Linked DNA regions of Xenopus tropicalis. The protein of the gene in region 2 interacts with the protein of the main gene of each other region in a biochemical or structural test. Links are inferred from orthologs where the notes say so. Each region holds a gene or a part of one and is shown on either strand. Other genes may lie near its edges. The genes, in order: ccne1 and cdc25a.

Region 1 (11,409 bases), on a different chromosome or scaffold from region 2:
CCGACTACTTTGAGACCCCCCAAAAAAATAAATAAAATAAAGTGTAAGTCTACTTTCCTCTGCATCCTCCAAATACCACAATTCCCTGCACATGCAATAGCAAAAAAGAAGGAAACATCACTGTGCAGTGCATTGTGGGTTATGTAGTTCCTGCATGCTCCCTGTAAGCTGTGAGGAAGCTCAATGAACTATTCTGCAGCTGGATTTCAGCATATAAAAATGGATTTTATTCATACTTTTTGAAGGAACAAATTACAGTGATAGGTATATTAGTGGTTTCTGTGGTGTGTGGAACTAAGGTATTTCCTGTATGCATACACTGTGGATGGCAGGTCCAGGTGCAATTATGCCCACTGTCGTCATGTTAAATATACCACTGGTCAGCTTCCACAGCAACTCTGCAGAAATGTACACTGCTCAAAAAAATTAAGGGAACACAAAAATAAGACATCCTAGATCTGAACCAATGAAATATTCTTATTAAATAGTTACATAGTTGAATGTGCTGACAACAAAATCACACAAAAATGATCAATGGAAATCAAATTTATCAACCCATGGAGGTATTTGGAGTCACACTCAAAATTAAAGTGGAAAAAAACACTACAGACTACTGATTCAACTTTGATGTAATGTCTTTAAAACAAGTCAAAATGAGGCTCAGTAGTGTGTGTGGCCTCCACGTGCCTATATAACCTCCCTCCAATGCCTGGGCATGCTCCTGGTGAGGTGGCGGATGGTCTCCTGAGGGATCTCCTCCCAGACCTGGACTAAAGCATCCGCCAACTCCCGGACAGTCTGTGGTGCAAAGTGGCGTTGGTGGATGGAGCGAAACATGATGTCCCAGATGTGCTTAATTGGATTCAGGTCTGGGGAACGGGCGGGCCAGTCCATAGCATCAATGCCTCGTCTTGCAGGAACTGCTGACAAACTCCAGCCACATGAGGTCTAGTCTTCCAGTCTAGTTTCTTGTCTTGCATTAGGAGGAACCCAGGGCCAACCGCACCAGCTTATGGTCTCACAAGGGGTCTAAGGATCTCATCTCGGTACCTAATGGCAGTCAGGCTACCTCTGGCAAGCACATGGAGGGCTGTGCAGCCCCCCAAAGAAATGCCACCCCACATCATTACTGACTCACTGCCAAACCGGTCATGCTGATGATGTTGCAGGCAGCAGAACATTCTCCACGGCATCTCCAGACTCTGTCACATCTATCACATGTGCTCAGTGTGAACCTGCTTTCATCTGTGAAGAGCACAGGGCCCCAGTGGCGCATTTGCCAATCTTGGTGTTCTATAGCAAATGCTAAAGGTCCTGCACGGTGTTAAGGCTGTAAGCCCAACCCCCACCTGTGGAAGTCGGGTCCTCATACCACCCACATGAAGTCGGTTTCTGACCATTTAAGCATGTACATTTGTGACCCGCTGGAGGTAATTTTGCAGGGCTCTGGCAGTGCTCCTCCTGTTCCTCCTTGCACAAAGTCGGAGGTAGCGGTCCTGCTGCTGGGTTGTTGCCCTCCTACGGCCTCCTCCACGTCTCCTGATGTACTGGCCTGTCTCCTGGTAGCGCCTCCATGCTCTGGACACTACGTTGACAAACACAGCAAACCTTCTTGCCACAGCTCGCATTGATGTGCCATCCTGGATGAGCTGCACTACCCGAGTCATTTGTGTGGGTGCATGCCGAGGCATTGTAGGGAGGTCATACAGGCACGTGGCCACACACACTACTGAGCCTCATTTTGACTTGTTTTAAGGATATTACATCACAGTTGAATCAGCCTATAGTGTTTTTTTTCCACTTTTGAGTGTGACTCCAAATCCAGACCTCCATGGGTTGATAAATTTGATTTCCATTGATAATATATGTGCGATTTTATTGTCAGCACATTCAACTATGTAAAGAGTGAAGTATTTAATAAAAATATTTCATTCATTCAGATCTAGGATGTCTTCTTTTTGTGTTCCCTTTATTTTTTTTGAGCAATGTATTATTCCTAAAACCCATAAGGCTTTACCTTCATTATTATCAGCTCCATACTTGTAATCTCATCTTCTGTACAGGCGCCATCTGTGATAAATGCAAACTGATGCAGCTTTGGAGGGTATATTTCCTGCAATAAAGTAAAGAACTCACTTTATGGTAAGTTGACCATTATAGCTCTACCCAAAAAGAAAGTAAAAAACTTTACCAACCTCCAGCTTAGCAGCAATGAACAAAGATGTGATTCCAATAAGTTGCAGTCTACTTTTAATTACATTTTTTTGAGTTGCCATAAACCGATCAAAGAAATCTTGTCCTAGGTAAAATGTTTCTCTGTGAAGTTTGTACACTTCACAAACCTGAGGGGGGGAGAATACAATTAATATTTTATATATGCAAAACAGCTGCACTTGCTTTTAAATTTAAAAATGCCAGAGTATATGAAATAAAAAAAATGTGCAAGTCCTGCAAGTGCTTGTGGGAGTATAAATTTACATTATAAGGCTTATTCAGAAATGACTGCAAAACTTTACACTGAAGATTAATATTTCAGCCAGACAATTCCTAATTGAACACTTCACAGTATTAAGTGCTTTTACCTCATTTGTGTCTAATTTTGGTACTGTATGATGTGGCCATATGCCTCTAGAGGTAGCACTACCAGAAAAAAAAATGGCACTATTAAGTTAAGGAAGTGCTTCCAAAAAGACTACTGGTGTATCTAGTACCTCTTCCCTTGCCAGCTCTCCAGGGTGTGTTTTTTTCAAAGAAAGTAATGCCGTGGCAAAAAGATAACCTATGACATCTTTTCCTTGAAGGAAAACCTCCACCTGCAGAGACCATCTCAAAATTTACCAGTTCAAGCTGTAGGGGCAGTCATCAGTGCCTCTCAGTACCCCCAAACCAGGTAGTTATTTTTGAATTCCTGATTTGGTGGCAAGTTTTGGTTGAATAAAAAAAAAAAAAAAAAAAAAAAAAAAAAAAAGATTTACTACCAAATAAAGCCTCCTGTAGGCTGATAGTGTGCATAGAGGCTACCCAATAGCCAATCTTAGCCCTTATTTGGCAACTTTTATGATGCTTGTGTTGCTCTCCAAGTCTTTTTACATTTGACTGTGGCTCATGAGTAAGAAATGTTGGGGACCCCTGCTGTAGGGTATTGTTTGGGTCATTCATCCTGCTGTGACTTTGAAGCCGCCCTTCATTTTATTTCACTCAATTTTTAGTCTTGCCAGCAAGCTCCAGTTATTTAGGAATGGATTTAAAATTTTGAAATGCACAGTTATACACAATCACTGTACATATGCTAAACCCTCTTATCCAAGAATACCAGCTAAACAGTACTGCTGTGAAAGAACTGTTTGGTTGGTATTCTTTGGCTGGGTTTTGCGTATGTGCAGTGATTGTGTATAACTGTGCATATTTTTTAACTGGCAAAGTTTGCCATGGAGCAGTAACCCATAGCAAACAAGAGGTTTGCTTTTAAACAGGTGACCAGTTGATGCTACCTACTGATTGACTGCTATAGGTGATTAGGTGTAGCAAGTGTTGTACCCCATATTACATAATCTTTGGTGTATTATATCAACTAGACTAATCTAAAATACAATCCCAAGCAGATCATTCTGGAATCAATCAAGATCTCCACTCCAGCTTTCATGATTAGAGGAAGAGGAATATTCAGAAATTCTCACCACCTTACAAGGTCTTATCACATTGTCACTGCAGGACCTTTGCACTCTACTCCAATAAGCAGCGCCATTTAAATCAATGGTCTTGCTTAAACTATTGAAGGTGACTTTTTCAAGTAAGGTAGAGTTTTGAAGGCTAGTTAAAAAAAGGGAAAAAGGAAAAAACAGTACTCACTTCCATAAGCCAATCAAGGAGAATAGCCCTCATATTAGGTTGCAACTGAGGGTGTTTTTGAAAAAAATTCTTGTCCCTCAGGTAAGTTCGGTCTTTGTTCAACATGTTTCTCCAGACATCATCTTGATTCGCCCATCTGCAAAGTAAGATTGTACTTAATACAGAGCTAGAACATCTGAATTGTATGATTAAGAACAGTCATTAAAAGCAGAGGACATAAAAAACATGTTATAATGTAGAAAGTTGTATCCTTGGACCATTGCCAATGAACTCCCCCCCCCCCCCCCCCCCCAACCACTTTTCTTGCCATTTTTTTTTTTTTAAATATAAAAGGCAATTTATTTAAAACCAGAAAAAAAATTCTGATTTGTCTCAAGAGATCAAAATCCCAGGTTAATATTCCTAAAATGAATAGACCCCCATTATTATAAATTTAGAAGTAATTTTTTTTTTCTCATTTTGGTGAGATTAATGACTAAGTGCACAAGACTGATGGAAAGAATATGCACGGTTTTAAGATACATTTAGGGCCTTTCCTGGTCCTTTATCATGTCTCTTATGAGAAACAGTCACCTTACAATGTATTCACAGCACACAAGTCATTAAGGGAAGTTTACAAGTGCTTAAAATAACTTCCATATAAACATTATAGAAATGATATTGACTGACAGAAGCTTGATAAAGCGTACCCCTTCCTGCTGTTGGCCTTTAACAAGCAGGTGCCAGCCAGCCAGGCTTTTAGTTTTCAGAGATCAGTTCTGATCAAATCGTATCAGAGGGCAATTTCTCAAAATACAAAACCAATGGCCAACACATGTATCAACTGGATGACTAAGGACAGTAAGCCCCCAGGTCATATTACATGCAACTATGATGCAGAATCTTTACTTGGAAAAAGTCTGATACCTGCTGTGACATAGATAAGGTCTTCTTTATTCTCCAGTAATAAGATTCACTGTAATGAATGCTGTTTGCATCACACAGGAACAGGCCAGTCATTTCTTTAAATGAAAAACTTGCAGCATTCTTATTATGGGACACTAATAGCCAAAACTGTAAATGCTATGGGACAAAGGATGGGTTTGGTTCTGACAAAAAAAGCTGTTGTACGTGGATAAACAATAGCCGACTGATGCTACCAGCCCCAAAATATTTGCTAGCTCTAGTTTCATAAGGGGTAGTAAAAATACAGTTTATAATTCTGCAAACCAACACCAGAATCAATGCATCACAGAAATGTCTGCCACAGGAAACTATTTATAGTGAATATAAGTACTAGCAAAGACACCTGGGCCATGTAAATGTCCTTCCTTATACTGTATTGTAGATCGCAACTACTATTGCCAAACTGCCCTTGTACTAAATGTCTGTCTGAAAAGTAAAGTGTTACAGATTCAATTGTGCTATAACACCACCAACGGAACAGTCAAGTTACACAAGGCATGTACCCAAGACGTGGAAGAGGAGAAACGCTGACTGGACTGAACCGGAGAGAAGCAAAGTGCGGGTAGCTGGTAGGGTTTTGTTCGTGTTCCTCTTTTTCAGGTGTAGGGATCAATTTGTGGGGGCTTTTGCATATCATTTCATTGCTCCATGGTCCCTAATGATAGAACAAGAAGTGTATAAAGGCAGAAAAACTACCAGACTATTATGATTAACACAACAAATAAACAGTAATGCATGTCTTTTAAATAACTCTTTATTGATGTACTGGGATATAATTACATTTTCAGATGAAATTTGTCAAATAAAGTACAAAAGTATTCCAAAGCTAAAAAATCAGAGTCACTGGTTATTTGGTTAAACAACAATTACCAAGAAGTGGTACACAAAAACAAACTATAGATACATTTAAATTGAAAGATACCACCTTAGATTATTTAATGCCCTTTAATAGCTGACAAATTCTAAATTCTTCCTATGTAGTGAAAGCCACAAACCGAGAAGCTGTAATTATGTTTAAAAAAAAAAAAAAATGCAATATGTAGTTTATAAAAAAAAAAAAAAAAATGCAGAATCATGCACATCTATTATGCAAAGCAAGGCAACTGTATGAAACCAAAACCTGGCAAAAAAAAAAAAAAAAAAGACTTCAAATGTCCTGAACTCTTATGAAACTTCTAGGGCTGATTGTGTATTTAATAAATGCCTAAGTTTAGACTTTAGGGCTGTATGTATTAAATGTGACATTAACAAAAAGCTTGATTTTACTGCATCTTACTCTTAAATGGCTTTTACATAAAACAGATTATAAGTCAACTTAGTCACCAACTAGAGTTTAATGATGAAATCATAGCTTGATCTTTATCAGTTGTACTAAACAACTAGATGTCTATGACTTCTTCCCTCATTAGTACTGAATAGGGGGCCTATGCAATAATATCAGTTTGTTAGCAACAGTGATGATACACAAATTTATGAGAGAGAATAATATGAAAAGCAGCAAGTGGTAAAGGCCCTTATGTTAATTACCCTGTCTTGATATTGTTTTTTCTTTGTCATTTCCAAGCAATCCAAGGTCTCATCTGGATCTTGCAAGTACTAAAAAGGAATAGAAGAAACAAGTTGAGAATGCCAGAGCAGAGTTAGTCACACACACAGTGTCCAAAACTGCACATGGCCCTTTGTATGAACTTACAATAGCCACATCTGCCTTTCTCTTTCTGGAGCGCACAGAACAGCTTGCCCTCTCCTCTCCCTTTGTGCCTTTTTCAACTGGAGGATTGCTAGAAAAAGAATATTATTAGAAATAATAATATCAGGGAATGTAAAGTTTCACCTCTCTGACATGTGCTGGTAGGTTAGCCATCTTTGTACACTTACCTTATCACGGGCATTTCAGGACTTTTTTTGAATGAAGGTTAACCTTTCTTACCCTGAAATTCAAGAAAGTGAAGGTTAAATTTAAGGCAAAACCCGGATTTAATTGAGAAAATGTTAGTAATGTGTTCCCCTGCCCCCACTAATGCTTTGGCGCCGGGAAGAAGGTGGAGGAAGGGAGGGTGGAGATGCAAAACAAGGCCTGAGACTTCCCTGCTTGTTACTGTAGATAATGTATAGCAGCACCCACAAAGTGTCACCCCGTACCCCGAGATCTTGTGCATGCAGCAGTCACAGCCAAGTGAAAGTAGGCTGAGAAGATGGCCGCACAACTTGTACTTAGTGGGGGGAAGGGACTAGACGTGCTTCCATCCCCCCCTAAGTCTTAAAAGAAGCAATTATAGTCGATTAATACACTCACAACAGTATCCCTCATTACAATACCTTCCGTAGACACAATATTTAACCCCTTTTGTACAGGCTATGAACTTTTGCAAAGCCGTAAAGCACGGATGTCCAACATGCAGCCCTCCGGCTGCTGCTTTAAAGTTGAACCCCTGAAACTTTGCCTGCCCAGAATCTTGTTGGGCAATCGGGAAAAGCGTGAAATGGACGTGTCCGTTGTGGGCCTTTAGGTGCATCGGTAAGTAGGTCAGAGACTTACCCACACACTGGATCCAATGGCGAAATGCTCGAAGATGGACAGAAGCAGATGGGAAGAGGCGAAGGCTAAAAGTTCTGTATGGGACAAGAGTATAAATATATAGCAGCGAGGGATGAATAGCAGGATATTGGGGAGACTTTGGCAATAACTTAGCCGTAAGTTAGGTGCATAAATAGATATATATTAGGTTCTTGTTGGGTAAAAGGAATAAATAGGACTAGCAATATACAGCTCGTTGCTGTAAGGCGACTTTGTGCTGTGCTTGGGGGTCTGTACAATGTGCAGCGAGATAACAGGGAGAGGGGGCCTGGGTGCACGCCGAGCCTGCAGCTGCTCCTGGCTCCGGATGGCCGCACTGAGCTGGCGGGTTCAGCCTTTATATGACAAGCGGCGGCACATTCAAACTGCAGCAGGCGCGCTAGCTTCCCTCTTTCGCCAACATCACCCCCAGGCTGCCACTTGGAAATGACCTCGTCTCCCCTCAAACTGAGGCCAAGTAAAAAGTTACAGATGCAGACCAAAGCCGGCCTCCCCACCACCTCCCGGGCCGGTTATAAACACAAGCAGTGCAGACACCGGCAAGAGGGGGCGGGGAGAAGCAAGTTTGGGGGCGTGTGGAAAGAACTAAGGGGCGGGCATCCGGAAGTCGGAAGAGCCACGTGGTTTGCTGAAGCTGGATGTAAACAAGAGGTTCCTGGGAACTGGGGGGACCGGCTTTTGGTAAGAAAACCTCTATTTTGAAACGTTATGGGTTTCTTTAGCGGACTAGCTGTGTTTGAATATCTCTTCTACGCAATTCCTCTGCTGAATCCCACACGCCGCTTATATTTATTGCCCTAATAATATCGCGATGCCTTTTAATAAGGACATTCTAAAGTCATGCATGTTTGTTAGATGTCCACTGTCCGACATAATGCTCGCATGTGATGTTATTAGTGTGCTCAGTTAAACTGAGGTTCTTTCTGTAGGTTATTCTGTGGCATGTCCAGGTGCCTTTGTTATCTGACAGCTTCATTACAGGAGTTTAGTATTGTTCTTGTTGTCAGTTACCCTCTCCCTTTCATTCCATCTAGAAAGGGCATCTGTTATGTATTATATACACTGCATTATATGTTGTTTAGCAGTCGGGGGAAGGTATGTGGGTATACAAACTACATTTTACAGATTATTACATTAGCCATATAATAAGGTTCTATGTGAGACGTGAGCATAATGGAGCCAGTGTCCCATGTGCAGCAGCTACTAAGCAGCAGTTACTCATTTTTTTAATGCAAGGCTACCTAATTGATGTATACTTGCAGTACCTTTTATTATTACCCTTATGAGAAATGCAAAAAATAAGCCTCAGACTTACGGCAAACACAAAGACTTATTTAAAACAAAATAAAGGTGACCAGGCCATTGAAGATGTTTTAATAGTCTATGGACAGATTATTTTCTTTTTTTTTTCTTTTTTAAAGCAATGACAAAGCAAATAGTATACAAACCCCTCAAAAAAACATAACAGCGCTGTATTCTGTTTGCTCTTCTGCAGTGGTATTAGGATGGGTTGTAATGAATCCATTGCAATGGAGTTGACATACTTGTTGATACGTGACCGCATATGATAGTAGAAATGAAGCACCACAGGTGTGTGTGTATATATTCAGTTTTAGCAGACACCTACAAAACAGTAAACACTGGAGTTACTGCACAGTCTGGTTCTGTTTAGTCTGTCAGGGTTGACATCAACAAAGTAAAAAGAACAGAAGCAGAAAAAAGGTTCTCTAAACTGCCATTTTGTCTGACACATTATTTTGTCACTGTAGTTTCTGGTAGGAATCATAATGGGACGCTCATTTATAAATCTCTTGAGTGGTGCAAGTTGCAAACTTGGCCATGCTATTTAGAGCTTTGACCTTCTTGCACCAACCACACCAAAGTTAATATGCCAACAAAACTACAGTGCAAAGTTAAAGGACATTGAAGAAATTTACTGGGAGTGATAATATGTTAGACATCAGGGCAGGCACTCCTCTTTGGTAGAAAATGCACCAGCCCAGTGAATAAACTAAGCAACTAAATTCACTGTGACCTGAGTAACTTATTGCTGCTCTAAATTTAGCTTTTCTTCAATGAAGTTTTGATGTTTAATTCACAGCAACAACAACTCATGAATGTTGTGCAAAATGCCTGCTAGACAAAATCTGCAGCTATTATATTGAAATACATTTAGCTACTAGGCATTTGTGAAGACCAGTAGCAAATGCATTTAGTGATTTCCCCTTGCATGAGCAGCATAGCAGAATAGAATACAACTGGAAAGCATGTTGGAGAATGCCCACAGAGATGCAAATGCATTTTTTGTTGAGATTCTGGGCCAGCATTGATGCTGTACTAATTTGAAGTGCATGCATTGGACCCTGGAGTTCAGGGTTCAGACAAAGAACAATGGGTAAAAACTTTGATGATTGCGCCAATTTAGCATCTTGCCAGAGTTTATTATTGACACATTGGATGTGTATTTCTGCATATATCATTGGCTGCTTGGATTTGAACAGATCTTAAATACACAGACTCCAGAGAGATTGGTATTACACATACTACCAAAATGTTGTGTTTCACTGTGTGCAAGCGCAGAAAAGCTGCACCTGTTTGCCTTTGTATAACATAAAGGAACCGTAACAACAAAAAATTAAAGTTTTAAAGTAATTAAAATATAATGTACTGTTGCCCTGCACTGGTAAAACTGATCTGTTTACTTCAGAAACACTAATATAGTTTATGTTAGCAAGCTGCTGTGTAGCAATGGAGGCAATTCAAGGGCTAAATGGCACAGATTAGCTCTGTTGAACACCATAATTTTCTACATATCTTATTTGCTATGTAACCTGTCCCTTTTCTCCTTTCAGTGGCTGCCCCTTTGGCGACACAGCAGCTTATAAACTATAGCAGTTTTTCGGAAGCAAACACACCAGTTTTACAAGTGCAGTATATTATAATATATTATATTTTAATTACTTTAAAATACTTTAATTTGTTATTGTTACTGTTCCTTTCAGTGCATCGTGGCATACTGTTATCACACTGGCAAGTAGACTGCTGGGCAACACTGGGACTCTTCCGGATCTGGCTCAATCAAGTAAATGGTCAACACAACATCAATGCATGCTGTGGCCTTTTGTAACTAAATGTGCAATTTGGAACTTTCCATAGGCACTATTTACATCAGTCAACAATTATGTTAGTGCATTTAAACTGGAATGTACACTTTAATCACATATTTATTTTGTAAGTGCAGGTGGGACTGTGTCACCTGTCAATAAAACAATGAGTTTGTCATAATCCTATGTTGATTTTTTTTTTTAATTGACATTTTCTAAAATAGTTTACTTGCCCTGTGGCTCAGTAAGGTGATATCTAAATCAGTAATAACAAACTGGCTGAACATATGTGTGTATGCATGTAGAAACAGGCAATGCTAAAGTGCACAGTTGCACATAATATTGCATTTTCATGCCTGTGAAGAAAAATCATTAGTAATTAAACGCCCACCTTTAAAAAAAAAAAAAAAAGTCCTACCACTGTGGTAGAGCTTTGGTAAATAAACCTTTTTCAAAATATAATGCATTAAAGGACAATGAAAGGTTAATATAAATTAAAAGTAAGTCTAAAGTCTAAATTCTTTTTAAGTACTTACTGCATATCTAAATTCCCAGATCCCTGCTTGCTTCTCTGAGATATGGTGCTGGCAGCCTACAGCAGTGTGAAGACTACAGTGACATCACTGAAATCGCTCTGTCCTTCCTGTAGGTGCCAGCGGCAGCCTTCCTATTCTCTGAGCATGTGTGTAACTTGATCCTGTCTCCTGTTCTGAGCTACACATGCCCACCAGCCAATCAGAAGCGGATCTGGCAGAGGGGAGGGGAGGGGGGGAGGGAATGAAACACATGTGCAGTATGAAGCAAGGAGGGAAAGGAAGGGAAAATACCTTTTTAGAGATGGCTGCCTGTTCTAGAAAATGTGAAGTAAGTGTGACTGAGTAAATATTTGATTAGGTGAGCCAAAAGTGTGGCGTTTTTACTAAACAATTGGGC
Region 2 (10,738 bases):
TTCTTCTCGTTGCAGAGGTTGCTGTGCCCGGCCGCATCATTTTCAGTGTGAAGATGGAGAGGTGTCGTTCAGCTCCGGCTCATGTCAGAGGATCCAACCGCCTCTCTGGCCTCCCCGTGGTTAAGTCCCTGTTCTCTTGCGAGGCAGACACTGCCCTATCTCCGGTCACTAGCCTCGCTATCAATATGGACCAACTGGCAGGCCTGGGCAGGTAATGGCCATGAGGAATTACTACTTATGTGGTTTGACTGTTGGGTTGGACAGAAAAGGCTTCATGGTCACATCTGTTCTGCTGAGGGTGTCCAACATGTACCTTCAGCCATAGACTTTCTAAGGGTGCTGGGGGTTGTAGCCCAAAACAACCTGTATGATGGTCTATGTATATCAATATCTCCTGGATTGGGGACCCTGGCTTGGCTTATTGCAAGGGCCCATTCTACTCAATCTTGAGTCTGCGGTGCTGTTGCTGAACTACTTCCATTATCCCATGTTATGTTGTGCAGGGAGATGTAGTTTAACCTAGGCACCTAGAGACACAGGTTTGGATGAATGGGTCAGAGGCTATGGGGGGGGGGTTGTTTTAAGAAACCCATTTGCCCCCTCCTTGGCTTGTTAATGGTATTTTTGTTTTAGCCCCTCCTTCTAATGGTGGCTTTACAAACTATAGTGGGTGCCTGACTTATGTCTGCAGATTTGATGTATTTGCTTGTTGAGACTGGGCACAGTGATTGTGGGACTTCAGCAAAGTATGTCTTTACAGCCTGGATCTCTGTGCAATGCAGTCATGTGTTTACAGCCTGGATCTCTGTGCAATGCAGTCATGTGTTTACAGCCTGGATCTCTGTGCAATGCAGTCATGTGTTTACAGCCTGGATCTCCATGCAATGCAGTCATTTGGCTTGTTGGACATCCTGCAAATAAACATGGCACTTAGGAGTTATGCCCCTAAGTATTTACAGCAACAGGGTGTCACATGTGGAATGGCAGCCATTTTCCTTGCACATGTGGGTTACTAGGAATGAAACCTGGGCATGTTCGTTCCCAGCAATGCTGAAAGCAGAAGGAGGCGATCATTGCTATAAAGGGGCTAAAATCTACTAGTGGAACAGTCAGCAAGGGTGGTGCATTTCCTTTTATTCCCCGCGTTTCAGAGAAACCTTTCCCAGCTCCTCAGACTGAAATATTGCACACAACTAATCCGCAAACCCATAGTCTTTTATACAAGGCCCTGGTGCCCAGCAGTGGGGGTAGATTGACAACCTTCTCAGGGTACTGAGGGTCATTTTACCCCCACTTGTTCCATGTGTGCCAGAGTTCCGCTCAGACTGAGAGCCATTTAACTGGCTACTTGTCCTGCAGCATATGGCCCACTAGGAACAGGCTATCCATTAAAGTGGACCTGTAATAAATAATTCCAAGTCCTTTTCTATCATGTTAGTTGAGCAAAATAAACTTAAACTATATAATTTTTTTTATTATACGTGTTGGAACTTAGTCACAGCCAGCAGGGAGGCACCATTTTGTGAACACTGTTATTAAGGCAAAGCTTTGTATCCCCCCCCCCCCCCCCCCCCCAAAAATCATATGCATTTGCCATCTAGGTGATATCTAAGAAGTGCTGAAAGTCTGTGTAAAGCAATTTCTATATCAGTAGTGGGTGCTGAGGGAATAATCCATTGTATTTAGTATTGGGGTGATAACTGAAATGACTGAGCCTCAGATTAAAGTGCAAAACCTCTATGTTTGTAGTAAGCATGTTTTTTTTGTTTTCTGGTTGCTGTGGCAAAGATTCAAAATCGTGTTTTTTGTTTGTTTTTAATATACCACTATAGTTATAGGACGTCCTTAAAGTCTTTTTTTTTTTTTTTTTTCTTCCTATTTTAGCCAGTGTGAAACGCCGACACGTAAGCTCGGAGAGCGCTGGTCTATGAGAAGAACAGACTCTTCGGAATCTATGGACGCTGGTATGTCTTTGCCATAACATAAATGGCTTCAGTATATACAGATGTATTGTAAGGATCTGGTTACAGTGACTTGTAAATGGAGGTCTTTCTTGCTTCTCACTACCTGACTCCCATTTTGTTTGCAGGACTCTGTCTGGATTCTCCAATCAAGATGGATCTAAATGACACGGAAGAAACGTACGTATCTGTGCTTTCACCTTTTCAGTGCAAATCAAACTACTGGCAGCCATGCTTTTCTCAGGGCTGAAATGTTTTGCCCGTGGCACAGTTTAGCGAGCCTGCCTGGCAAACTTAAGGGGATTGCTATGGTGTGTAATGGACCTTCCCCTTTAAAGGGGCAGTGATTCTCCATTTTCAGCTGTTTCCAGTAAAACACATTTCAGGCATTCATAAGGTTTACACGCTGTTTAGCTTAATTAACAAATACCTGTAACTATGCAAATGATATCCATTCCAGAGTCTCCAACTCAGTGTTATATGAATGCACATTGCTTGACTCTCCCCAGAAGTCGCCATAACTGCTTTTCGCTCATATTTAAAATGCACTTTATTCTCCCTCTTAGGTTTCAGAAATCGACTCAGAATTCTGACAGGCTTGGACAGTAAGTATGTTTGTTAAAGATACAGTAGTGGGAATCATGGTACCCTGGTTAAACTAAGCTGAATTTAAAGAGAATTTCTGTAGAAATACAAATGGCTGCAGGAAGAGTATCCTTTCTTTGGCTGCTGACCCCACCCACTTCTTTCCCCTTTCCTGTAAGTTCTGTGTAATCATTCACAAACCTGAGGAAGCCGAGGGACCACTGTCTCAGGCTGCCCACCAAATGTCTGCCCACTTACAGGCTAATCTAGCTTACACAGGCAGCCAGTGTCCCTAGGCCAGTATGCATGCTGCTTTGTCTGAGCAAGGGAGTAGAATGCCGTGAAAAGACCTGCTTAAGTGACGCACTCCATTCCTGCCCCAGTGGGGTCACAAACAGAACATGCCGAGGTTGTAGATAACTAGGAGTTTACAACTTGCACCAAAAGTGTCATAGTTCTGACAATGTAGAGATTTTCTTGCTCATCCTCCATTGATCTTTTCACATATCAAAATGGTGTTTTTGTCTTTCTAGCACAAGGTTACCAATCAAAAGGAGGAACTCCCTGCCGGTGAGTTTTATATTAAACTATCTCATATACTGGTACCATCTAAACATTGATATGGTTGACATCAGTAGCATTAATTGTGTAACATACCAGTGTTAGTAGTGCTGTACACACTGACCTTGTACTGTAGCTGCTCATTCCTTTTCGGCTGCTGAATGAGTTGTTTTTGTCCCACAGCAGTGATGGCACAGTCGGTGTGTAAGGGGGACATTGCAGCTGGTAACATACCAGTACTTTAACCCCCTTCCTTTTTTCCATTCAGCAAAACCTACTGGGATCCAGCCCTGCCTTTAAGAGGAATCTCTCTTACTCTCTAGAATGTGAAGTGTTCCACGCAGCTGACCTGGAGAACAAGGAGAATGTAAGTACTAGTTTATTATCAAGTCATTCAGGAAAAGAAAATGCATTTGAGACATTTAAATATTATTCCCAGATCCGTGTAATAACAATTTGGCAAATTTAAATGGACATAGAATCATTTCTAAAGCTCTTATATAGCATTGGATATCAATCAACTGCTATTAAACCCTGCCCTGCCTGCTAAGGTGTTAAAAGGCTGCAAAGCAGGTAGTAAATGGCACAGTAGCATCTTGAACTATGTGCCACAAGGGCCCATACACTGGCCCATGGTAGTTGTGGCCTAGCAGGAGGACTGCAAGTTGAATTTGTCTGATTTAGATTAGCTGCAGCAAATGCAGTGTTTTAGTTTTGTCATTTTTGTGCTTACAAATCAATAACAAAATAAAGTCGGTTGATACGAGGTAAGGTTAATAGTGGGGGCTCCTTAAATCACCACAATAATGTGACACAATCACTGTGGGTTTCATTTGCAGGAAAAGTTTCAGTTTAAAATCCCAGCGAGACCGCGTTCCCGGGGCTGTTTCCGCTCAAGACTCCATGGGGATGGAAAGGAAAGTCTCGTTCAGAGACAGAAATCTGCACCTGCGTGTATGGTATGTGTCTAATCTCTTGTGCTTCCATAGCCCACTTATCCTTTTTCCAGATGTGTTTTCTTCTCAGTTTTTTATCTCCACATTTCTTTCTTCTCTCCCTTCTACTTCTGATCTTCTATTCCTGTTAATCTTGTGCTACTCCTTTCCCATTTTCCCTGTCTTTTTGCTTATTTTAAATCTGTTTCCTATTTCACATTTATTTTCCACCCTCCTATTTTTCCTCTCATCCCACCCTTTACATATTCTATTTGCCTCCCCCACCTCTGTTTGCATTTGTTTCTACCCACCCCCTCCAACTGAGCTTTCCTTCCCCCCCCTTTTCCCTGCAGTAATCGGACTGTGAGGCTGTCCTTTTTCTTCCAGCTTTTTTTAAAGTGATCACCCATACCAGCATGTCTGGCCTGAGATGCAAAATAGGCTCTGGAATTTCAAGTACACATACCCAAACAGCCCCCCAGAAGGCCAAAACATAGTCACTGTCTATGCCAGTGATCCCCCAACAAGCCCCTGTAAGCTGATAGTGTGCATAGAGGCCCCTAATAGCCAATCTTGGCACCTCCATGAACTTTTATGCTGCTTGTGTTGCTCTGTCTTTTTACATTTGACTGGCTCACGAGTAAGAAAGGTTGGGGACCCCTGGTCTATGCAGTGGTGTGACAATACCTTGCTGGACTCCCCTGCCCAAAATAAATCTTTGGCGGGGCCTGGCACATACTGAAGCCTGCCCACCCCTGATGCAGGCAGATGTGGGTGCACAATCTTTCGGTGCTATAGAGGAAGCCGACTCCGGTTCATGCCTCCCGCGACTGTGGGATCTGCTTCACTTACTGATAAACCACTGTATCTATGGCATCTTACAGCAGCTCTCATTTACCAAAATCTACAGATTGCCTGTCCGGCCTGCTCCATTTATAGAGGTAGCATGAGCAGTAGGATTGCTACAGGTATTGCTCAGGACACAGGAAAACTACAATCTCTTGCACCACATGTACATAAACTGCCCGACACCCTACTTTTTTTTTTTTTTTCTATTCCCTCTGCCCTGCTTTTTGCTAATTTTTATTTAACCTTTACACTAAATCAATTTCTTTGTTTGTTTAGCTGTCCTCTCCTAGGAAAAGTGAAGTTGCAGCTTCTGATATGGTCTTTGTCAGAAAATCCTCAGCTGCTTCCACTTCCACTGAGGGAAGTGATGATGGCTTCTTGGATATGTTGGACGGAGAGGACCTAGAGGTAAGCTGTTGCTGTTTTTACCGATGTACATGAATAAATCTGGATCCCAAGGTGGGTGCTATTATAAAGCATGCCATGGATATTAAGATGTTCTTTTCTGTTTGTAGAACGATACAGAGTTTCCCTGTGGTGTTGCAAGCCTATGGACGGCTCCCCTTGTCATGAAAAGCACTGAAAATGTAAGTGTTCCAGTCGTATGATTTACACTCTTTGCCAGTCTGGTTCCTGCCACATATCTCCTTCATCCTACTCCTCACTTCTGTATCCCCCTCAGTGTCTTGAGGTCCGACCTGCCTCTGAGCCAAACTGCACTACAAAACCAGCACTGAAACGAGTGGAGCGAACGCCGGACGAAGACGCGCCAGAAAAGAGCAAAAGGCGAAGGAGCGTGTCTGAAATTGCAAAGGAAGAGCTGGATCATGACAAAGTGAGTTCTCGGCTCTACCAAACATGCTGTTGGGGTTTTTCTACCCCTTCCCTTTAAGTTTGAGAATAACATTTCCCCCTTCTCCCTCCTTTTTGTTTTATAGAACTCAAGATTAATGCGATCAAAGTCCCTTTCCAGTCAGAACATAGAAAGTATGCTGGACAACGATCAAGTCAGTCTCATTGGGGACTTTTCAAAGGTATTTTATGTTTTCCCCCATGTGATGTTACGTTGTGTCCAATTTGAAATTAATTGCAGTTATGGACTGTTCAGGGTTTTGAGACTGACCTTACACACAACCTACTGTTTAGGTTTAATGCAGGGTTTTATTGGTTCATAATGTTAGTGTTAGTACCTGAGCTGCTTAAAAAAAAAAAAATCCACCTTTAACTCAACCTTGGGTGTGTTGCATTCAGGTAAAGTCTGAAACAATTTGCATTTTGTCTTTTATTTTCTGTTGCTAGAGTCCACTTTACCCCAGCAGCCAGCCAGTGGTATAAACAAAAATCTTAATAAATAGGTGAGGTGGGCAGAAAAGTCAAAGTAACAACAAAACATTAGCCCCACAGGGCAATAGCTTTTTATCTAATAGGGTCCGTGACACCCCCCCCTTTTCATCTGAAAAAGGTAGAAGCAGCATATTAAAAAAACTGTAATTTAAAGAACATTTGAAGAGTTGCTAGGAATAGACCATTCTATAGGATACACAGTTAACTGAGGTTAAAGGTGAGCCACTCATTTTGGCAGGACACTGAGGTTTTTCAATTTGCCAAGCACTTCCTTTTGAGTTACATGGCTGACTTGGCTCTGTGTTGTGTTTTTAGGTCTTCCTGTTCCCGACAGTGAGCGGCAGGCACCAGGAACTAAAGTACATCACTCCTGAACTGGTGAGCTTTCCTGTACATCAGTGTTTTGCCCCCCCCCCCCCCCCCGCCCCTGCCATTTCAGTATTCTCAAATAATGTTATACTTTTGCAGATGGTTCTCATCCTAAATGGAAGATTTGACCCCTTTATTGAGCGATGCGTGATTATTGATTGTAGATACCCCTACGAGTATGAAGGAGGTCACATACAGGTAGGTTTTACTTGTACTGTTTCGTAGTTGAGAAGATGGTTCCTTTTGTGGTGATGTGATTAAGTAATGGCTGCGAAAAGTTCTGGAAATGTTGACTAAAGGCTGACAGTGGTTGTTGGTAGATGGGTATATATTAGACCACAGTGCTTTGCTTTTTCTGCAGGGAGCCATTAACCTTCACATGGAGCAGGAGGCTGAGGAATATTTCCTAAAGAATCCAGTCATGTCAAATGGTTCCAAACGAGTTATCTTAATCTTCCACTGTGAGTTCTCGTCGGAGCGGGGACCCAGAATGTGAGTAAACACAGCCCACTGAGCGCTTTCCTGTGCCCCAATTCCATCTTCAGCTGTCTAATATACTGGTGTCTGTCCTGCACCCTCTGGTGATATTGGAGAAGGGTGTATTGAGAGCAGGTATATAAGTAATGACAGCTCACTGGGTTTGGCTTTTTGTCGTCCCACACTGCTTTCCTTGGCGCATCAATCAGTGCAACGGAAAATGCTTCCAAACCCCGTGTTATACCCTAAGCACAGCTATGAGAGCAGCCACACTACTGAAGCTTTAGTACTTGGGATCCTGTGGCTAATGGCTCATGGTTCCTTTGCTAGTGTAGTTGCCCTTTAATAATTGGGTGCAAATCTAAATAGCATTTTTTTTTTAATGCACAAGAAATTTAGAAAATGAACTGCCATGCAAAGATCATGGCTGAAGCTTGAGTTAGGGGGCAGAGAAGCCCTGTATGGGTCACTTTCTCTCATTAAAGCGCCAGTAACAACACCTTTTTCTCCTAGGCTTTAATGTGGGCGACCAAGCACCCTGTGTGTTGCCATAAGTTTCAGATGCCCGGCTTATTCTTTCAAACCTCTGTTACAGGTGCAAGTTTCTACGGGAGAAAGACAGAGATAGAAATGAATATCCGCAGTTATACTACCCAGAGCTTTATATTTTACATGGTGGATATAAAGAATTCTTTCAGAAGTGCAAGGTAAGTAACATGCCAATGGGCATATGTGAGTGCTTTTTGTATGTACAGGCATAGGACCTGTTATCCAGAATCAGATTTAGAAGTCTGTTTCTCTCCCCTTACCAGACCTACTGTACGCCGCAGACCTACCGCCCCATGAACCACGAGGACTTTAAAGAAGACCTAAGAAAGTTCCGCATGAAGAGCCGGACATGGGCAGGGGAGAGAAGCAAGAGAGAACTGTACAGCCGGCTGAAGAAACTATGAGCCTCCGTGCCCGCACAGTCCTGCCTTTTCAATCACAGAGCAGCCGATAGAGCCGCGGAGATAAAACTATATCATGAAACTCATTCTCTTCTGCGCTCTTGTTCTGCTTTGTTTTCTTTGCACATGAACCTTCCTCAGGAGGTGTATCTGACACAGGCATATGTTGTGCCATATTCAGTTCTGCCTTACAGCACTCATTGCTGAGAGTTCTGGAATCTGTCTACTGCACTGTCCTATTGAATGGACATTTTTTTTTTTTTAACAATGGTTTGTTTGGGTGAGAAAAAAATGGAGTATAAAATTAATCAATGATCCCAAAGGTGCAACGTGAAGCCATAGAATGCTTGTAGCTCAGGCTTCTCTGCTACCGGATCCACCTGTTACATTCCATATCATGCATTCTCATTGGCAGAACTGGTTTCCCTGCTCAAGGCACCAAGTTGGCCAAAGTGCAGACTTCCTGCAACTTTTTTTTCTGGATTCCATTTCCGTTTCAAACTGAGAGCAAGTTCTGCCATTGGCTGGCTTTGATCTCCTCTGGGGGCATTTTAACATTTAGGTTCAATTTATCTAAATGGCCACTGCCAGTATTTATTGCTGTTTTTATGATTTTGTTTAAAAGTATTAACTCTCTTTTCTCAATTTTGAGAAGATTTTTTTTTTTTTCCTTTTTTAATCAAGGATTTGCACGACGAGAAATGTTTTATCGTTTTTGAGTTGTTTTACTATTGAATAAGTTGTGGTGATTATCAGACTGTGGTTCCCTTCACCCCAGGGCTGAATTCAGCTCACAGGTAAGGATATAGGTACTGGTCCTGCCAGAGAACTGATCAGCAAGGCTTTGTGTATTACTCAAGGGCCAGTGTTGGATAAAAGGGGCACCTGAAGTAACAGTATGGCTGAGCACCCCTCCCACAGCTGCACTCCGCCCCCTGTGTGGTCCTTCCATCAGATATTTGGGCAGGAGTGGTCCTTTAGGGGGTGCTAAAGAGCTGACCTAGACCAATTTTAATCTGTTTTTAAATGGAGTAACTGCAATGTGTAGTGTTTGTAATAACCCCTTAGTGTTAACTCTTCACCTTCGCACACTTACACATTTACATGTTAGGCTTAAAAATGAAGGTGGAGAACTTAATACCTAGAAGGGGCCAAGGTTGACGACGTGGGTTGTCATGTTTTAGGAAGTGACAGTACAGCTCCCTTCCTTACTAGGCAATTTTCACCTTGTCGACTTGCCAAATGTTCCTGGTCATGGTTGAACTTCTCGGTACTATTGACTCCTGCCGTGACTCCCTATTGAGAGTTGTAACATGGCACTGACCCAATGGCCCGTTTGGACTGCATTTTTCACGCTGATTTCCTGTTAAATTGTTAGTGCAAGGAGTGATGGTGAGAAGTCATTGTGCATTGAACACTGTAAATACACGACTATCCGTGCAAAGGTCGGGGCGGTCCAGCTGGGCTGCTTATGGAAACCTATGTATGGGTATACATGACTGTCTTGTGGTATTTTTGTTACAAGGTTTGTAATGTCCTGTAGGAAACATACTATATGTAATGCTGCTTTTTCTTCCCACTACAGGAAAATAAAACTGCCTTTTTAAAACCTTAATTTGACCTTTCTGCTGCTATGTATGATTTGCCTTACAGTAACATGTTCCCCAGCACCCTGCCATAGGCATATGTATTGTGCTTATGGTCCGGTAATAAGAAATGCTTTCTTATGAACTGATTTGCAGGGCAGACCCTAAATGGCCTTACCTTCCAATCATGTAGAACAGGCTATGAAGCTGCCAGACATTTCCTCGGCTGAAGCCAGATCAGAGAAGGCCCAGGGTGCCACAACAGCCCTGGCACAGTGAGCTTTTAAACATCCCAGTGCTGCCTGTTATCCTTATGCTGCTTAAGTGCAGAACTTGCCACTGAAAAGTTAGGTTTTTGTTAGATTCTGTCTTCCTGAATTAGATAACATGCAGAAGTTAAACCCACAGTGCCATTATCCACTTGGTCCTTTTTGAGAACTAAGATGGGGGGGGGGGTTGGCTTCTCAAACATTGCTCTCAGTAAGGAACGTTGTGTGTTGAAGAGCAAGTATCCCACCCTGAGATTAGAGACTTGGATCTGGTGAAATGGTTGATGTGTCAAGTGTTAGCTGGTACCTAAAGAGAAGATGTCTTGAAGCCAAATGTCTGCCATATTGTGATCCAACACCGGACATGGTGGCTCCTAAACCTTCATGCTTCTTGGGTATGCCCTCCCTGTAGTATCATGGATGGAAGGATTGTGAGCTCTGTCCAGTTATGAGTAAGACCTGCCTGGCCTATATCCTTTTGATTCTCTGAACATGGGGCCTCAATCTGTTTTTATCCTTTTCTGGTTGGAGGTAGAAAGAAAGGTTTGTCTTTGCCCGCTGATGTTTGAGATGATCAAATATAGGTCCAAATGGAAGTTTACCTTCATCTCTTGGTATCTAGCACTCACTGAGTAAACTTGTTGGCTGCTCTGCTTTCTTGTAATATCTCCAAGTTACTCAGCCAGAAGTTATTGGTTTTAGTTGTAGCCAATGGCGTTAGCCAGCTTGCAGGCTGTGACTGCTAGTGAGTAGTTTTGCAGTAGTGGTGCCGCCCCTCTAAAACCAGGTTCCCTAGGACACCCCTAGTGACTGCTGCTTTAAGTGGGTTTATCCAGAATTTGATTTCCTTGA

What was found.
Region 1: the proteins of cdc25a (region 2) and ccne1 form a complex in vitro, tested with the Homo sapiens proteins (2 studies listed by BioGRID). The link is inferred for Xenopus tropicalis from reciprocal best matches to the Homo sapiens genes CDC25A and CCNE1.

Annotation. Positions count from the first base shown.
Region 1 is NC_030680.2:71,329,266-71,340,674, forward strand, and holds the start of ccne1 (G1/S-specific cyclin-E1), read right to left. Parts: upstream 6,990-11,409; 5' UTR 6,937-6,989; intron 6,726-6,936; 5' UTR 6,687-6,725; coding exon 6,673-6,686; intron 6,576-6,672; coding exon 6,488-6,575; intron 6,391-6,487; coding exon 6,322-6,390; intron 5,450-6,321; coding exon 5,298-5,449; intron 3,986-5,297; coding exon 3,850-3,985; intron 2,343-3,849; coding exon 2,196-2,342; intron 2,114-2,195; coding exon 2,018-2,113; intron 1-2,017. Other genes in the region: uncharacterized protein LOC549154, read left to right, coding at 7,799-8,053. UniProt on the Homo sapiens protein: Essential for the control of the cell cycle at the G1/S (start) transition.
Region 2 is NC_030682.2:12,721,069-12,731,806, forward strand, and holds the end of cdc25a (M-phase inducer phosphatase 1), read left to right. Parts: intron 1-15; 5' UTR 16-53; coding exon 54-211; intron 212-1,884; coding exon 1,885-1,964; intron 1,965-2,089; coding exon 2,090-2,141; intron 2,142-2,527; coding exon 2,528-2,566; intron 2,567-3,079; coding exon 3,080-3,116; intron 3,117-3,375; coding exon 3,376-3,474; intron 3,475-3,946; coding exon 3,947-4,066; intron 4,067-5,167; coding exon 5,168-5,299; intron 5,300-5,406; coding exon 5,407-5,478; intron 5,479-5,573; coding exon 5,574-5,726; intron 5,727-5,829; coding exon 5,830-5,925; intron 5,926-6,550; coding exon 6,551-6,613; intron 6,614-6,703; coding exon 6,704-6,802; intron 6,803-6,965; coding exon 6,966-7,096; intron 7,097-7,676; coding exon 7,677-7,788; intron 7,789-7,893; coding exon 7,894-8,034; 3' UTR 8,035-9,646; downstream 9,647-10,738. UniProt on the Homo sapiens protein: Tyrosine protein phosphatase which functions as a dosage-dependent inducer of mitotic progression. Directly dephosphorylates CDK1 and stimulates its kinase activity. Also dephosphorylates CDK2 in complex with cyclin-E, in vitro.